Linked DNA regions of Oryctolagus cuniculus. The protein of the gene in region 1 purifies or fractionates together with the protein of each later gene. This does not show direct contact. Links are inferred from orthologs where the notes say so. Each region holds a gene or a part of one and is shown in the gene's direction. Other genes may lie near its edges.

Region 1 (5,418 bases):
AAAGAGGAGAACTCTAACAAGAAAAAGCCTGCTGAGGAGGGACGTTTTTGCCTTGGAAAACCTGGAGCCTAAAGCATTCACTATTACTGGCGGCAGGTTGATGGCCTAGAAGAGAAGGAATTCTAGGTCAGGAACATTTTGTGCGAAACTGAGGCTGCACTTGGGCATTGGAAGATAAGGGCATTAGAAGACAAGTAATGGCTCGAGCAGGCTGGGCTGCCCTGCGGGGTCCCTGGCCCTGGGCTGCCCCTCCCCCAGCTGCCCTCATGCTTGGGCAGCAGCGCTGTGGCTTTGCCACGAAGCCCTCAGATGAGTCCCCTGGTTCCTCTGTGATGGTTTCCGCTCTCCTCCCTCCTGATCCTCAGCGAGGCCTCGGGTGAGGGGGCATGGCCACTCTCACCAGCTCCCAGGCCCAGTGCAGTCCCCTGGCATGAATGACAGCAGCTGTTTCCTAAAGTCACACACTTAGGAGCAAATTATTCTGACTGCGCCTGTAGGAGCCCACGCGCCCCTCCTAAGACCCCAGGTTTACCCTAGCGGGAAAGGCCAGGACCCTCTCGGTTGCAGCAAGACTGCTTTGTTCTGGTGATTTTTCCCGCCAGCTCTCCTTGGACGCCCTTAGATGACTTCCATCCTCTCCCCTGATCTAGGGTTGCAAAGAGGTTCAGTCCTCTCTTCCCTGCTGCCTACCTCCTCCCAACCCCCAGTTCTTACCCAAACACCGGCATCTGGGAACAGACTCTGGGCCAGAGTAGAAACACTGCGGGGGCGACGCTGTGGAGAAGCGGGTAAAGCTGACGCCTGCTATTCCTGCATCCCATATGGGCGCTGGTTTGAGACCCAGCTACTTCGGATCCAGCTCTCTGCTATGGCCTGGGAAAGCAGTGGAAGATGGCCCAAGTGCTTGGGCCCCTGCACCTGCGTGGGAGACCCAGAAGAAGCTCCTGGCTCCTGGCTTTGGATCAGCGCAGCTCGGGCCGTTGCAGCCATCTGGAGAGTGAAACAGCAGATGGAAGACTCTCTCTCTCTCTCTCTCTCTCTGCCTCTGCCCTCTCTATAACTCTGCCTTTCAAATAAATAGTCTTTTTTAGAAAAGGAAATATTGTGGGAATGGACGACTGGTTTGAACACACACTACCAATCTAGCAGTAGGCATAAAAGCAACACCGTGGTTACTACTAGAATGGTGATGGGAAATAATTTCTTACCCAGCACGGGTGGAAGTGTGGGTAGGGACAGTATAGGCTATCTGTTTTAGTATTTTTTTTTTTTGTGGCGGTAAAGCTAACCAATCATAACGAGCAATTAACGTTATCTGCTATTATATTAAACATACACGTAGCGCTCAAAGGACAGTTACAGGCCGGCACTGCGGTTCACTAGGCTAATCCTCCGCCTTGCGGCGCCGGCACACCGGGTTCTAGTCCCCGTCGGGGCGCCGGATTCTGTCCCGGTTACCCCTCTTCCAGGCCAGCTCTCTGCTGTGGCCAGGGAGTGCAGTGGAGGATGGCCCAAGTCCTTGGGCCCTGCACCCCATGGGAGACCAGGGTAAGTACCCGGCTCCTGCCATCGGATCAGCGCAGTACGCCGGCCGCACAGCGCTGGCCGCGGCGGCCATTGGAGGGTGAACCAACGGCAAAGGAAGACCTTTCTCTCTGTCTCTCTCTCTCACTGTCCACTCTGCCTGTCAAAAAAAAAAGGACAGTTACAATAGTTACAATACACTCGCATTCAAGGCGCGCTTGGTTCTCTTGAGAAGATTGACTCCCTGCGCGTAGAGCGCGGTCGCCCTCTGCTGACGTAGGGAGGTAGCGCGCCGGGAGTGGGCGTTTCCGGGCCTGAGGGGGCGAAGATCTTTCTCACCACTAGAGGGCTCTGGTCCGCGCTACGGAACCCGTTCTTGCCCTCCCTTCTTAAAGTACTTCCGGCCTGATCTCTATGATCCATCCAGTTGGCGGCTAGGGAAGTTCCTAAACTTTTCGACGTAAACAAAAGGGACGTGCGCCGACCCGGAAGTGAAAGCGGGAGCGAGGCCGGCCGGAAGGAAGGAGGAGGCTGGAGGGAAGCTGTAGCCATGGCTGTGGCCGTGGCCACGGCCGGGGTCCTGACCGGGCCGGAGCCAGGCCCCGCGGAAGAGCTCGCCAAACTCGAATATCTGTCTTTAGTGTCGAAGGTGTGCACCGAGTTGGACAACCACTTAGGGATCAACGACAAGGATCTCGGTGAGCCGGGCAGGTCCCTGGGGCCCCAGGGCTTGGGGTTCCGGGGAGCGGAAGGAGCCGAGTGTGGGCCGAGTGGGGTGCGAGTCCGCTTCTCCCCAATTCACGTGGCCCTCGGCCCGGGGAGTGAGTCTGGGAGCCCTCCGAGCCGATCTGTTAGAGCTGTCGGGGAAGCCCAGGGCCAGCCGCTCCGCTTGGTGTTTTGTTTTGTTTTTCAGCTGCGAATAATTGAACAGCTTTAACAGCAGCGGCGGCGGCCACCGTGGTATTTGATGGTGGTTGCCGACAGTCTTTGGGTGCTCCCACTGTGCCACCTGTTCTGCCCAGCTCTCTAATTCCGTGCCTTCCTCGGTCTCAGCGCCACGCTGTGAGATAGCAGTCAGCGATCGTTAGTGTTACGCTGCCTCGCAAGCACCAGTCGTTCGCTGTCCGGTGCAGACAGCATCTGGAGACTCGCGCTGAGCTCCTCGGAAAGTCTTGGGCCCTGGAGGCGATGGACGGGATGGAGGCACAGGTTGCTTGCTTTTGATAGGTGCTGGGACATTCCCCGCCCTGTCATAGGAGGAGGACATAGGGCAGAGATAATGGTTGTGCATGCGGAAGAGTTTAGAGACTAGCCAGAGCTCCGTCGGATTTGTTTTCTAAATGAAGAGGAGGGAGTCGCTAAGAGGGCTGAACCGGGGGGGGGGGGGGGGGGTGCGACAGGAAGGGGTCGAGGAGGGTAGGTGGGTTTCTTCTCTGATGTGAGGTGAGGTTTTCGCAGGGTTCCTAGATTGCACTTAGGAAGGTGCCCTGCAGCCAGTATATTGCCAGCATATATTTTAGTTCATATTTCTCTTGCCTGAGAGAGACAGAGAGAGACAGAGACAGAGACAGAGAGAGAGACACCTTCATCTATTGGTTCACTCCCCCAAATTGCTGCAACTGCTGGGGCTGGGCCTGGCTGTAGCCAGGACCCAGGAGCTTCACCTGGGTCTTCCATATAGCTGGCAGGGGCCCAAGCACTTGGGCCATCTTCTGTTGCTCTCCCAGGCACATTAGCAGGGAGCTGGATCGGAAATGGAGCAGCCTGGACTGGAACCAGTGCTCATGTGGGATGCCTGCGTGACAGGCAGAGGCTTAACCACTGTGCCACAACGCTGGCCCTTTAGCATCTGTGTTTGATAGTGCATTAACTTAACGATGTCCTTATTTAATTCCGAACATTAAAAAAACCAACGTGGTCATTTGGTGCAACAGTGAAGACCCTGCTTGGGTGCCCACATCTCATATTCAAGTGCTGGGTTCGAGTCCCACGCCACTTCCTGCAAATGGGCACCCTGTGGGCAGCAGGTGATGCCTGAAGTCCTTGAGTCCCTGCCACCCATGTGGAAGACCCAGGTTGAGTTCCTGGCCCCTGGCTTTCGCCTAGTCCAGCCCTGGCTGTTGCGGGCATTTGGGCAGTGAATCAGCAGATAGAAGATCTTTGTCTCTTTCTCTTTCAAATAAATAAAAATCAGTTTAAAGATGAAAAAACTGATGATGGCTTGCAGTGTAGATACGCTGCTGATTATTGTGGGATGAGCTTTTTTGAGTATAGCATGCCTAATACCATGTGACTTAGTTCTCTTTCTACGTTTCCCCAAAGCAAGTGGGACCTCCAGTCAGCTGCCTGGGATCTGGGCTTGGGTCCCCCAGTTATTAGTGGGTAGGTTGTTGTCTCCAACTCTCAGCCTTTGATGTAGATCTGAACAATAGTGGCCCCTACTTAGGAGGGCTGTTGTTAGGAACATGAGGACAACCCATGGGAAGCATGTAGCGGAGTACTCAGCCTGTGGCGATGTTCAAGAAGTATTAACCATTGAGGTTGTTATTAATTTGTTGTTATGCATGAGCTGTGTCCGTGTGGCCTGATGGTGTGTGGCTTCCACTTAACATCATCAAAAGGATGAAGCGAATTCCAGCCTGGAGGTGGTACTGGAGTACTGGTTGGTCAGCCAGTTATCTAGATCGCCTGTGTTCCTTTTTCCCTTTTTGTTTTTTGTTTTGTTTTTTGTTTTTTGATTAGAATCCAAATAAATTCAATAAATTTCTTGTGAGGCTGATTATCTCAGTTGGTGAGAAAATGTGTGTGTTTTCTGAAACTCTCTTAGTTAATAAGTAGCTGTAATATTAGACATCTCAAAAACTAGGCAGGTTTGTGGAGAAACATTGTGAGGGCAGGCAGCTCCTTCCTGCACTTGGAGATGGTGACAGCCAGCAGCTGCCGGATTCTCACATGTAGGCTGGATCTGTCCTTCCCGAAACTGTAGACTGTTCTGTTGTATACAACTGTGTGTGTGTGTGCGTGTGTGTGCGCACACACGCACGCGTGGGCTCATGCTTATGTACATTGTCACCTTGAGTCTGCGTGGCGATACGCCTGGCTAGGAGTTTTGAGAGAAAAAGATACAGTGATTTGCAGCAAATAGATTTGCCTAGTTTAAATAAACTCACGGCCTGGTTGAACCATCTTGTAGTAACACTTTCAGTTCATTTGTAAAAGTTCACTGAAACACAACGTGGATAATACCAGTTTCTTTACCCTTACCTGAGTGCTGGTCTTTGGTTTCTGTGACAGTTGGGTAGCATAATTATTTTTATTTTCGGTATACTTGAAACTGATTGCTTGCTCAAGCCTCCATTTCTTATTATAATTCATTTTCTCATTTGCAGCTGAATTTGTCATCAGTCTTGCTGAGAAAAATACCACCTTTGACACTTTTAAGGCATCTTTGGTCAAAAATGGTGCAGAATTCACAGTATGTATGTTTGGAGACTTCTATTTTACTTTACTGTGACTGTTGAATTTAATTTTGGCAGGATTTAATACAGGATTTGGGTACAGGAAGGAGACAGTATGCACATACACTTAAATAAGCCATTAAATGTGTAATGTTTTCACGCCATTCGGCAGCGGCGAAGTGAGGATTTCCTGCAGCACCTTTCTGGGATACTGCGGAGGGATTCCTAGCGTTAAGTCTGTGTGTGTGTTTACATTCCTGTTCTGTGAATCAGGAAGTCGGAAAAGAGTCAAGGTTTTGGAGGTAGTTCTAAACCACGGGAGATAGCATGGTTGGAGGGAACTGAATAACTTGACCCCGGAAAGAGTCCTCGATACCAGTTTTCCCTGAAGCGCACTGTGCCAGATTGGGGATGCACCAGGTTGACATCCGAGCGC
Region 2 (5,439 bases), on another chromosome or scaffold:
AGAGACAGACAGAGAGAAAGGTCTTCCTTTTTCTGTTGGTTCACCCCCCAAGTGGCCGCTACGGCCGGAGCGTTGCAGCCAGCACGCTGCACCAATCCGAAGCCAGGAGCCAGGTGCTTCTCCTGGTCTCCCATGCGGGTGCAGGGCCCAAGCACTCCGGCCATCCTCCACTGCACTCCCTGGCCACAGCAGAGAGCTGGACAGGAAGAGGAGCGACCGGGACTAGAACCCAGTGTGCCAGTACCGCAGGCGGAGGATTAGCCTAGTGAGCCGCAGCGCCGGCCCTAGTCACTCCATTTGTCCTCTATTTTTTCTAACCAGTTACATTAAGTGCTGGGAAAATGCGTCAGTGCCCAGCCCCCCACCCCACAATAAGTGTAACCTTGCTTGTTCTAGCTTCTGTAACAAATACTTGGCTTTGTAATTAACTCCCAACCAGATGTGGTTTTTGTCTTTATAAGCTTACCCTTGAACTCAATCCGGGCTGCATGATTTGGAAAACACATGCCCCTGTGCAGCCACTGGCTTTCAAAATAAAAACTCCATAATTTGGCCATGAGACTTCAGCCTCTTCTGTAAAAGTCTCGCTGTGTTTTAATCGGTGCACCCCACAACAATACATCCGTAAGTAATTTCTTACCACTTCCAAAGTTGTTGAGGAGTAGGCATTTGATTTGGGGCCGGTGTTGTGGCACAGCAGGTTAAACCACCCTCTGTGACGCCAGCATCCCATATTGGAGTGCTGGTTGGAGACCCAGCTGCTCCGTTTCTGATACGTCTCCCTGCTAATGCACCTGAGAAGACAGTGGAAAATGGCCCAAGTACTTAAGCCCCTGTGACCCACTTGGAAGACCCAGATGGAATTCTGGGCTCCTTCAGCCTGGACAGGCCTCAGCCACTGCAGTCATCTGGGAAGTGAACCAGCATATGGAAGATTCTTTCTTTCTTTCTTTCTTTCTTTCTTTCTTTCTTTCTTTCTTTCTTTCTCTCTCTCTCTCTCTCTCTCTCTCTTTCTCTCTTTCTCTCTTTCTCTCTTTCTCTCTTTCTCTCTTTCTCTCTTTTTCTTTCTTTCTTTCTTTCTCTCTCTCTCTCTTTCTCTCTCTCTTTCCCTTCCTTCCCTTCCCTTCCTTTCCTTTCCTTTTCCTGCCTTCTTTCCTTCCTTTCCTTACTTCCTCCCTCCCTTCCTTCTCTCTCTCTCTCTCTCTCTCTCTCTCTCTCTCTCTCTGTCACTCTGCCCTTGAAAAAAAAAATAAATCTTTAAAGCAGAAGAAGAAACAGGAAAAGAAATAAAGAGAGGAAGGGTGGGAGGAAGGAAGGAAGGAGCCCATACCCTGGGCTGCTGGTGTGGTACAGCAAATTATGCTGCCGGTTGCAACAGCAGCATCCCATATCGCAGTGCCTCTTTCAATCCAGCTCCCTGCAAATGTGCCTGGAAAAGCTGCCAAAGGACTGGCTGGGGCCATTTGAGAAGTGAACCAGCAGATAGAAGACCTCCATATCTCTCTCACATTCGCTCTCACTCTTGCTCTACCTTTCAAATAAGTAAATAAATATTTTAAAAGCAGCAGCAGCAGCCAGCATCCCATATCAGAATGCCAGAATTCCTGACTTCAGCTCCTAATTCCAGCTTCCAGCCAATGCAGACCCTTGAGGCAACAGGTGATGTCTCAAGTAATTGGGTCCCTGCCACCCACGTGTGACACCTGTATTGGTTCCTGGTTTCAGCTTGGCCCAATCCTGGCTGTTGCATGCATTTGAGGAGTGAATTGGTGGATAGGAACTCTGTCTCTCTTTCTGTCTCTACCTCCCAAATTTAAAAACAGTAGAAAATGAACAGAAATACTGATCATAAACCACATATTGCTAGGCTAGCAGATGACTAGTTTAAGGGGCTGGATAAAGAGAGGGTTACATATTCCTTTTGCTGAAGCACACGGGTGGAGATAGTTACTGTAAGAAAAGTATGCAATTTTTCTCTGGGCTGCAAACTTATTTGGAGTGTATCAGGCTCAAGACGTTAACACAGACTTTGTGCCTTCTATGCTACCTGGGCAATACGGAGCTTAGATATCATAGCTCACCCCAATCGCGATAAACTTTCCTAATTTTTCTTGGGATTAGGAAAAAAAACCAAATTATATGCAATATATATTCTCAATCATACATAAATGCATAATTATACACAGAAGGCACACGAAACACATACAGAATTGGATGTGTTGTTCATACGACCACTCTGTGAAATGTATCTTATATTCCGCCATCCTTCTCTTCAGGTACCACAAAGTTCGAAGCTGAGAAAGGACTTTATCTCCTCTCCCCGTTAGTTTAGCTTTGAGAAGCCACTCGGAACTAGAGGAGAGCGTAGACCCAGTTGCCCTACCGGCTTGTTTATACCGATACACACGTCCGTTCAAGTCTGCAGAACCGCCTACGTCCGGGGAAGGGGTTTACCGACGTACTCGAAACGATTCCCAAGGTTCCCCTCAGGTTTGGGTGGTTGTAAGGTGGCGGGATCTGAAAGCCAAGGCAACCGGGATCTTCCTAGACTGGTGAGAGCGCCCCCTTCTTCAGCGACTTCTGGGATCCTGCAGCAGCAATGGCTCGGGTATCCGGCTCACGGAGCCCGGAAACTTCGGGCTCCGGGGGAAAACGTCGCAGTTCGTCGAAGAGCCCCAAGCCCAGCAAATCTGCTCGGTCCCCGCGGGGCCGCCGCTCTCGCTCGCACTCTTGCTCTCGATCCGGGGAACGGAATGGCCTCAGTCACCATGTAGGTGGCCTCAGTCACAGCTCAAGAAACCAGTCCTACCGCTCCCGCTCGCGGTCACGTTCTCGAGAGCGGCCCTCTGCGCCTCGGAGCACACCTTTCGCTTCTGTCTCCTCGTCCACCTATTATGGCGGCTACTCGCGCCCCTATGGGAGCGACAAGCCGTGGCCTAGCCTCCTGGACAAGGAGAGGGAGGAAAGCCTGCGGCAGAAGTGAGTGACCCCCCTCCCCCACTTTTCCTTTTACGAACCCACCTCCCTTTGGAGTCCGATTTATCATTCATTCCTCTTGTGGCCGTTTGTGTTCGCTCATACTTGCCTTGTATCCGTTTTCACCCCGTTATCCAGTCCACCCATGGCGACCCTTTTATACGTCCTTTTATTCCCTTACATTTTCATTCATTATACATTGCCATGGTTTCGTGCTACCCTCTTCCCTCTTCGGGGTTGTTAGCAAACGCGGTCAAGAGCCTCACATCTACCAGATTTATAGCATTTACTTGGTTGTGCCATTATCATTTGAGAGCCCTTTTATTGATTATAGAATTCCCAGTGCCTAGCACTTTGCAAACATGCAACCATTGCTTATTGAAGAAATAGGCTTGATTTAACAGAACACGTAAGTGGTAATGTTTTGTGGGGAATTGGGAAGGTTGAAATCAAGGGTTTAAATTGGAGAGAAGGAAAATCTTCCCCTCAGACAAGGCGATGAATGTAGGAAAAGTGACCTGCTAGGCTGTAGATGAGGCTACCTTGAGAAAGGACTTGCAGAGTGGTCTCGATCTTGTTTGATCATGAAAAATGATATTGGGGTGAGATCAAATTTCTAGTAAGAGTGAGTATGGAGTGGAAAAATGCATGGTTTAAGGGGAAAGGAAAAGGTTTATAATTATTGCTGTGGAAGCCTTTGTCTCTAATGTTTATTAAAGGTTAGATTTATGTATCCAGTACTGTGCTGAGGACTAGACATGCTGTATGTGTCAGAAAATGAGAAATGTAAAAGTATTTCAGGCATTGAGGAGCAAGTTAAAGTTTCAGCAGTTGAGAGGTGTCTTTGTGATTCTTTTGCTAACTGCAGTTTCATCCAGGAATCAGACTGTCTGAAATTGATGTGCTTATTTGGTATTTAACAACAGTGTGAACTTGAGCGAGTTGCTTAACCTCTCTGAGTTTTACTTCTTCACTATTAAAAAAAAGATAAAATTAGTATGAAGGATTTTAGGGTTGTAATAATTTAGTGTTTGGAACATAATAAATACTCCACAAGTGTTAGATGTTAGTTCAGCATGCATGGAAGAAGAAACAGTGAAAACAGTCCTGAGTTAGGTTACTTCCAAGTTAAATTTTTCAGAAAAGTACCCAGAGGCTTTATCAATCAAAAAGCAAATGGTTTCTTAGTGGAAAATCTCCACCAAAATATGTCAGAACTACTTGAATGAAATTTGCATTTGTACATTTAAGGAGATAAGTAATTTATCTTAACAGTACAGATGAAGCCAGGTGACAGCAGGTATGAGAACAGGACTCCAAGCACTGTAGAATTTGGCTGATACTCTTCTCCCTATATGTAAATATTCCAAGTATGTCCCCTTTTAGATTGTATGTTTCTTAAAGTGGGAAATGCTGAGTCTGACTCTGCATAATGATGATATAATTTCCCCCTGAAGAAATAATATAATTTATTCAAACAAACCAGCTATATTTATTTTGTAAGGATGTTTAAAAAGAAATCAAATCACAAACAGCCAAACTTTTAGGAAGTGGGCCTTTTTTTTTTAACTTTAAGAGTAATAGCAAAAATTAAAACAAACCACATTATAAAACAAAAGAAGAAAATTTTAATGTCCTCCAAAGAATAGAGAATGTACTACTTTTCCAAAAAGAAACTAAAGGGAAAACAGAGAGAGAACAAACCCTGTGTCTCACTGAGTACAAGTTTTGTCAAATAAGACTTTTTTTCATTTTTAGAACTTTTGTTTTCTGCTTTTATCAATTCCTGGGCTTCTGAAAGCTGAAGATTTGAGCAAATCAAGAGACTCCTCTTTACTTTCATAAACATCTGAACAAATGAAGTTATTTCCAAATGTAAAACTCTGTCACAAATTGCAGACAATAAAATGAATAATGAATAGTTATATCATGAATTAGGCAGAAGGGAAATACCTTCCAGTCTCCCAGGCTGTCGTTTCTGACCCAGCCACCCAAGCTATTTGTAGTTGCTACCGTTTGATAGTACTATCAGAACACCAAAAATCCCAAGTGATGAATTTAAACCAAGTTTTTATCAACATTTAAAAATAAAGAGAAATTAGACTTAACTGGGATCTTGTTGGATTTGATTATATATTTAAGAACAATTCAACCATTGAGTTATAATTTGTATACCTATACCTTCTAGGAGATTAAGTGAGAGAGAGAGGATTGGAGAATTGGGAGCTCCTGAAGTATGGGGACTTTCTCCAAAGAATCCTGAACCAGAGTAAGTGGTTTCAAAATATTGTATTGTATTCTACTGTTTAAATTCTAAGTCTGTTGCCAAAATTTTTAAGTGAAGAACTTTAAGTACATTTCACGTTTTTCTTCTTTCTTGTCATTTATGCGGTTCTACCCTTCAAGTTTTACTTTTAAAGATAGATTGATTGATTGATTGATTGATTTGAAAGGCAGAGTGAC
Region 3 (4,648 bases), on another chromosome or scaffold:
GGGATGCTGGTATTGTAGGTGGTGGCTTAACTTGCTGTGCCACAATGCCACCAACCAGATAAAAGTTGTTTTTTTTTTTTTAAAGACCTAAGTTTTTTCAGTGGTGTTCAATTATTCATTTTTTTCATTTATTTGGAATTCTTGTTTAGGAATTTGTCTTATAGCTTTATTTAATATTTCCTTCAATACAAATGTAATAGTTTTTAGATAACATGTTTGTGGTATAAAAAAGAATTAGAAAGGATTTTGTGTGTATTTATTTCATGTGTGGATTAGCCTTTTTAAAAATGTCAGCATTTCGGGGCTGGCGCTGTGTGCAGCGGGTTAAAGCCCTGGCCTGAAGTGCTGGCATCCCATATGAGCGCTGGTTCTAGCCTCAGCTCTCTGGTATGGCCTGGAATAGCAGTAGAAGATGGCCCAAGTCCTTGGGCCCCTGCACCCATGTGGGAGACCCAGAGGAAGCTCTTGGCTTCTGATCAGCACAGCTCCGGCCGTTGCAGCCATCTGGGGAGTGAACCAGCGGATGGAAGACCTCTCTGTCTGTCTCTACCTTTCTCTGTAATTCTGCCTTTCAAATAAATAAATCTTAAAAAAAAGGCAGCATTTCTAGGACTTTGGATCTGAACTGGCATTCCAATATGGGATGTGGCAGCCCAAGCAGTGACTTAACCTGCTGTGCCGCAGTACATGCCCAGGCTTATATTTTACATGAAACCTACTGTGTTATCTTTTTTAAAATATACACAGAATCTTGGTTTGGGGAAATAAAGTTTACTGATTTTTCATCCAAAGCTTTTCACTTTCTTGTCTTTGTAAACTTCCAGAAAATAAACAGGAAAAGAAATAGTAACAGTAAAAAAGCATACCTGCATATACACTTATACTCACACTGTCCGGAAGTTGAGAGGAAGGGGTCTTACACGGAACAGGGGAATGTTGACGGGCACATGCAGCCTTTGTTGTGTGGAGCACTCTTTTCCCTTGATAATTCTTTTTGAGGAGATTGCTTGCACGTCTCTTTCTACTTCACATGCTGTTGTGATGCCCCCTTGTTTTTATTTTGAAGCCAACATTAATGATCAGTTTTCTCTGTTACACAAATGAATGTTTTTCTGAGTTCTTTCTTCAAAGAACATTATTTAAACGTACAGCCTATATAAAAGGTTTTTTAAATTTTTTAAAAAGATTTATTTATTTGAAAGGCAGAGTTACAGAGAGGAAGAGGCAGAGTGAGAAAGAGAGAGAGAGAGAGAGATCTTCCATCCACTGATTCACTCCCCAAATGGCCATAATGGCCAGGGCTGGGCCAGGCCAAAGCGAAGAGCCAGAATCTTCATCCACGTCTCCCACGCTGGTGCAGGGTCCAAGAGCCATCATCTGCTGCTTTCCTAGGCCATTAGGAGAGAGCTGGATTGGAAGTGGAGCAGCCAGGACTCGAACTGCCACCTATATGGGATGTCAGCTCTGCACTCGACAGTTTAACCTGCTACGCCACCGTGCCAACCCCTTAAATTTTTTTTTTTTTTTTTTTTTTTTTTTTTTTTTTTTTTTTTTTTTTTTTTTTTTTTTGACAGGCAGAGTGGACAGTGAGAGAGAGAGTCAGAGAGAGAAAGGTCTTCCTTTGCCGCTGGTTCACCCTCCAATGGCCGCCGCTGCAGCCGGCGCACCGCGCTGATCCTGGCAGGAGCCAGGAGCCAGGTGCTTTTCCTGGTCTCCCATGGGGTGCAGGGCCCAAGCACCTGGGCCATCCTCCACTGCACTCCCTGGCCATAGCAGAGAGCTGGCCTGGAAGAGGGGCAACCGGGACAGAATCCGGCGCCCCAACCGGGACTAGAACCCGGTGTGCCGGCGCCGCAAGGTGGAGGATTAGCCTATTGAGCCACGGCGCCGGCTTAAATTTTTTTTAATTCCTTGTAGTAAATAGCCTCCAAAGTAATTGTAAGATTGTAAGAATTCTGTATATTTGCTTTGTGTTATCTGTGTTTATGTAACATGTACATTATCATTTGTAATTTTTTTTGTAGATTATGTTTAATGAAGAGCTTGGGAATCCTTTTATCATAATTCACAGTATCTCATTGCAAAAAATGGAAGAACATTCAATAGCTATCCTACTTCTTCGAATAGAGAAAGAGGACTTGGATATGAAAGGAAGCGGTTTTTATGTTTCTTTGGAGTGGGTCACTATCAGCAACAAAAATAAAGGTAAAACAGAATTCTAGAAACACTCACCTCTCCACTGTATGCCTCCCACCATGGTTCACTTCATCTAATAGATTTTGAAATGCAGAGCTCTCTCTGTAAATGCTGTTAGCTTTTTCTTGGGCATTGTGTTTGGATTCTTGTGCCTACCACTCCTGGTAGAATGAGTATCTGTAGGCAGTTTTTCTTTCGTTACGGTTGTGGAAAAAATTATTTATTTTCACAGCAAGTAAGCCTTCTGTATAAAAGGAAACATTAATAAAGTTCAAAGAATTTAACATGTGCTTTTTTAATATAAATAATGTATACATTATCTTCCTATGTTAATAAATTTTTAAGTAAATGTAAGTTAATGATACATTACAGTGTAATTTAAATGTAAGTAGGTATGAATGTCTCCACATGGAAATGAATACCTTTATTTTCACTGAACTTTGCCTGTTGTTTCTACCCTCAGGAGAATGGAATGTACCTTTTCTCACCTGGTGTGCTTCCATGTGTTAAAAGGTCCTAGACCTTGGTCTCTGAAGCTGTCAGGCTTCAAACTTGACATTAAAAATCTTTCTTGTGTATTAATTTGAATTTCTTTAATACTATTAACTTGCTCTTCACCTTTGCTTAGCACTTACTGCCTTGCCAAGTGACTTTTTTATTTTAAGATAACTAAGGGACTTGGTTTCCTTGATGACTGTTTTTCCCAGTTTTTATTAGCTTCCTTATTTATGAGTTAATTTAACAAAATATCATTTATTACTATAGAAAATATTTCCTTTACCATAGCTACTAGATTATAATCTGATAAAGGCAATTAGTATTTTTTTACAACAGGGCTTCCCCTTTTATTATAAAATCAACAACAAATATCTATATAGATATTATCTCAAAATAGTTTATAAGTAAGTTGAATAAATCTCTTAGATTTATTCTTTGGAGTACTTAATGTAATTTATTTGTTCTTATTCTCAGGGTTGTAGTTTCATCTCTGGAAGAACACATTAACTTAAGACATTAGATTAAGTATTGGAAATTTTTCTGTAAAGAACGGTCTGATCTATGTCACAAGCTGTTCAACTATGCCACTATGGTACATAGGTAATACATAAATGAATAGGTACTATGTAATAGGGTAATACATAGGCCGGCGCTGCGGCTCAGTAGGCTAATCTTCCACCTGTGGTGCTGGCTTCCCTGGTTCTAGTCCCGGTCGGGGCGCCAGATTCTGTCCCGGTTGCTCCTCTTCCATTCCAGCTCTCTGCTGTGTCCCGGGAGTGCAGTGGAGGATGGCCCGGGTCCTTGGGCCCTGCACCCGCATGGGAGACCGGGAGGAAGCTCCTGGCTCCTGGCTTCGGATCAGCACAGCACACCAGCCACAACGTGCTGGCTGTAGCAGCTACTTGGGGGGTGAACCAACGGAAGGAAGACCTTTCTCTCTGTCTCTCTCTCTAACTGTGCCTGTCCAAAAAAAAAAAATAGGGTAGTATATAAATGAATGAGTATAGTTGTGTTCTAATAATATTTTTGTTTGAACATTGAAATTTGAATTTTAATAGTTTCCATATATATTTAAATAATCAATTACAAAGATAAAATTCAAGGTTAGCTTTTAGGTCATATAAAAATAGTCCTAGATTTGACTCATGGGCCATAGTGTGTAGACTACTACTTTAAATGATAGAAACTTTGCTTTTTTTAAATTAAGATTTGTAATTAATCATCTTTTAAGAGAAATTATCCTGCATATTTCTCCTGCCCTTCTTCAAGGCACTTCGTTCTGTAACAGCATTAGCTCAATCATGCAGTTCATCAGATCTTCTTGGAAAACAGCAGCAATGAACTAGCCCCATCATCTATTGCCTTTATCTTCCTTCGCATGCCTCGACTGGACAGATACATTTGGATTAAAGTTTCTTGTTTTCTTCTTTTTGTTTTTCTTGATTTATTTATTTGAAAGGCAGAGTTACTGGATAAAGGGAGAGAAGAGATGCACAGAGAGAGAGAAAGAAAGAACAAGAGATCTTCCCATCAGCTGGATCCACTGGTTCGCCACCCAAATGGCTGTAATGGCTGAGGCTGGCCCAGGCTGAAGCCAGAAGCCTGGAACTCCATCTGCGTCTCCTATGTGGGTGCAGGGGCCCTAAGGACTTAGACCACTCTCCTCTTCTTTCCCTGGTGTATTAGCAGGATGTTTTTTATTCTTCCAAGTTTTTAGTTGTATTAATTTTCTTTATGGTTCCTTTAATCATTTTCTCTTTAATGTTTTAGTCCTTCCCTCCTCAACTATTACCAGAATAATTGTGTTATTTTGTCTTTTATTTTCTAAATTAACAGAAAACTGTTTTTGTAAACTGTTGGGTGAAATATTTGATAAATTATATTTTGTGGTCAAGTAAGTTTGAAATTGTGGACATACAATATCCCTGTTGCACATTATTCATATTAACTTTTC

The links. The genes of interacting proteins can lie anywhere in the genome.
Region 2: the proteins of DHX8 (region 1) and NKAP purify together in Homo sapiens (co-immunoprecipitation; 3 studies listed by BioGRID and IntAct, with this or other methods). This does not show direct contact. The link is inferred for Oryctolagus cuniculus from reciprocal best matches to the Homo sapiens genes DHX8 and NKAP.
Region 3: the proteins of DHX8 (region 1) and NUDCD1 purify together in Homo sapiens (affinity purification with mass spectrometry; 3 studies listed by BioGRID and IntAct, counting the BioPlex papers as one, with this or other methods). This does not show direct contact. The link is inferred for Oryctolagus cuniculus from reciprocal best matches to the Homo sapiens genes DHX8 and NUDCD1.

What each region holds. Positions count from the first base shown.
Region 1 is NC_091448.1:19,585,869-19,591,286, reverse strand, and holds the start of DHX8 (ATP-dependent RNA helicase DHX8), read left to right. Parts: upstream 1-1,911; 5' UTR 1,912-2,074; coding exon 2,075-2,222; intron 2,223-4,913; coding exon 4,914-4,999; coding exon of another isoform or gene 5,000-5,003; intron 5,004-5,418.
Region 2 is NC_091453.1:73,167,074-73,172,512, forward strand, and holds the start of NKAP (NF-kappa-B-activating protein), read left to right. Parts: upstream 1-1,975; 5' UTR 1,976-2,599; coding exon 2,600-2,979; intron 2,980-5,164; coding exon 5,165-5,245; intron 5,246-5,439. UniProt on the Homo sapiens protein: Acts as a transcriptional repressor. Plays a role as a transcriptional corepressor of the Notch-mediated signaling required for T-cell development. Also involved in the TNF and IL-1 induced NF-kappa-B activation.
Region 3 is NC_091437.1:134,681,711-134,686,358, reverse strand, and holds part of NUDCD1 (nudC domain-containing protein 1), read left to right. Parts: intron 1-2,024; coding exon 2,025-2,205; intron 2,206-4,648.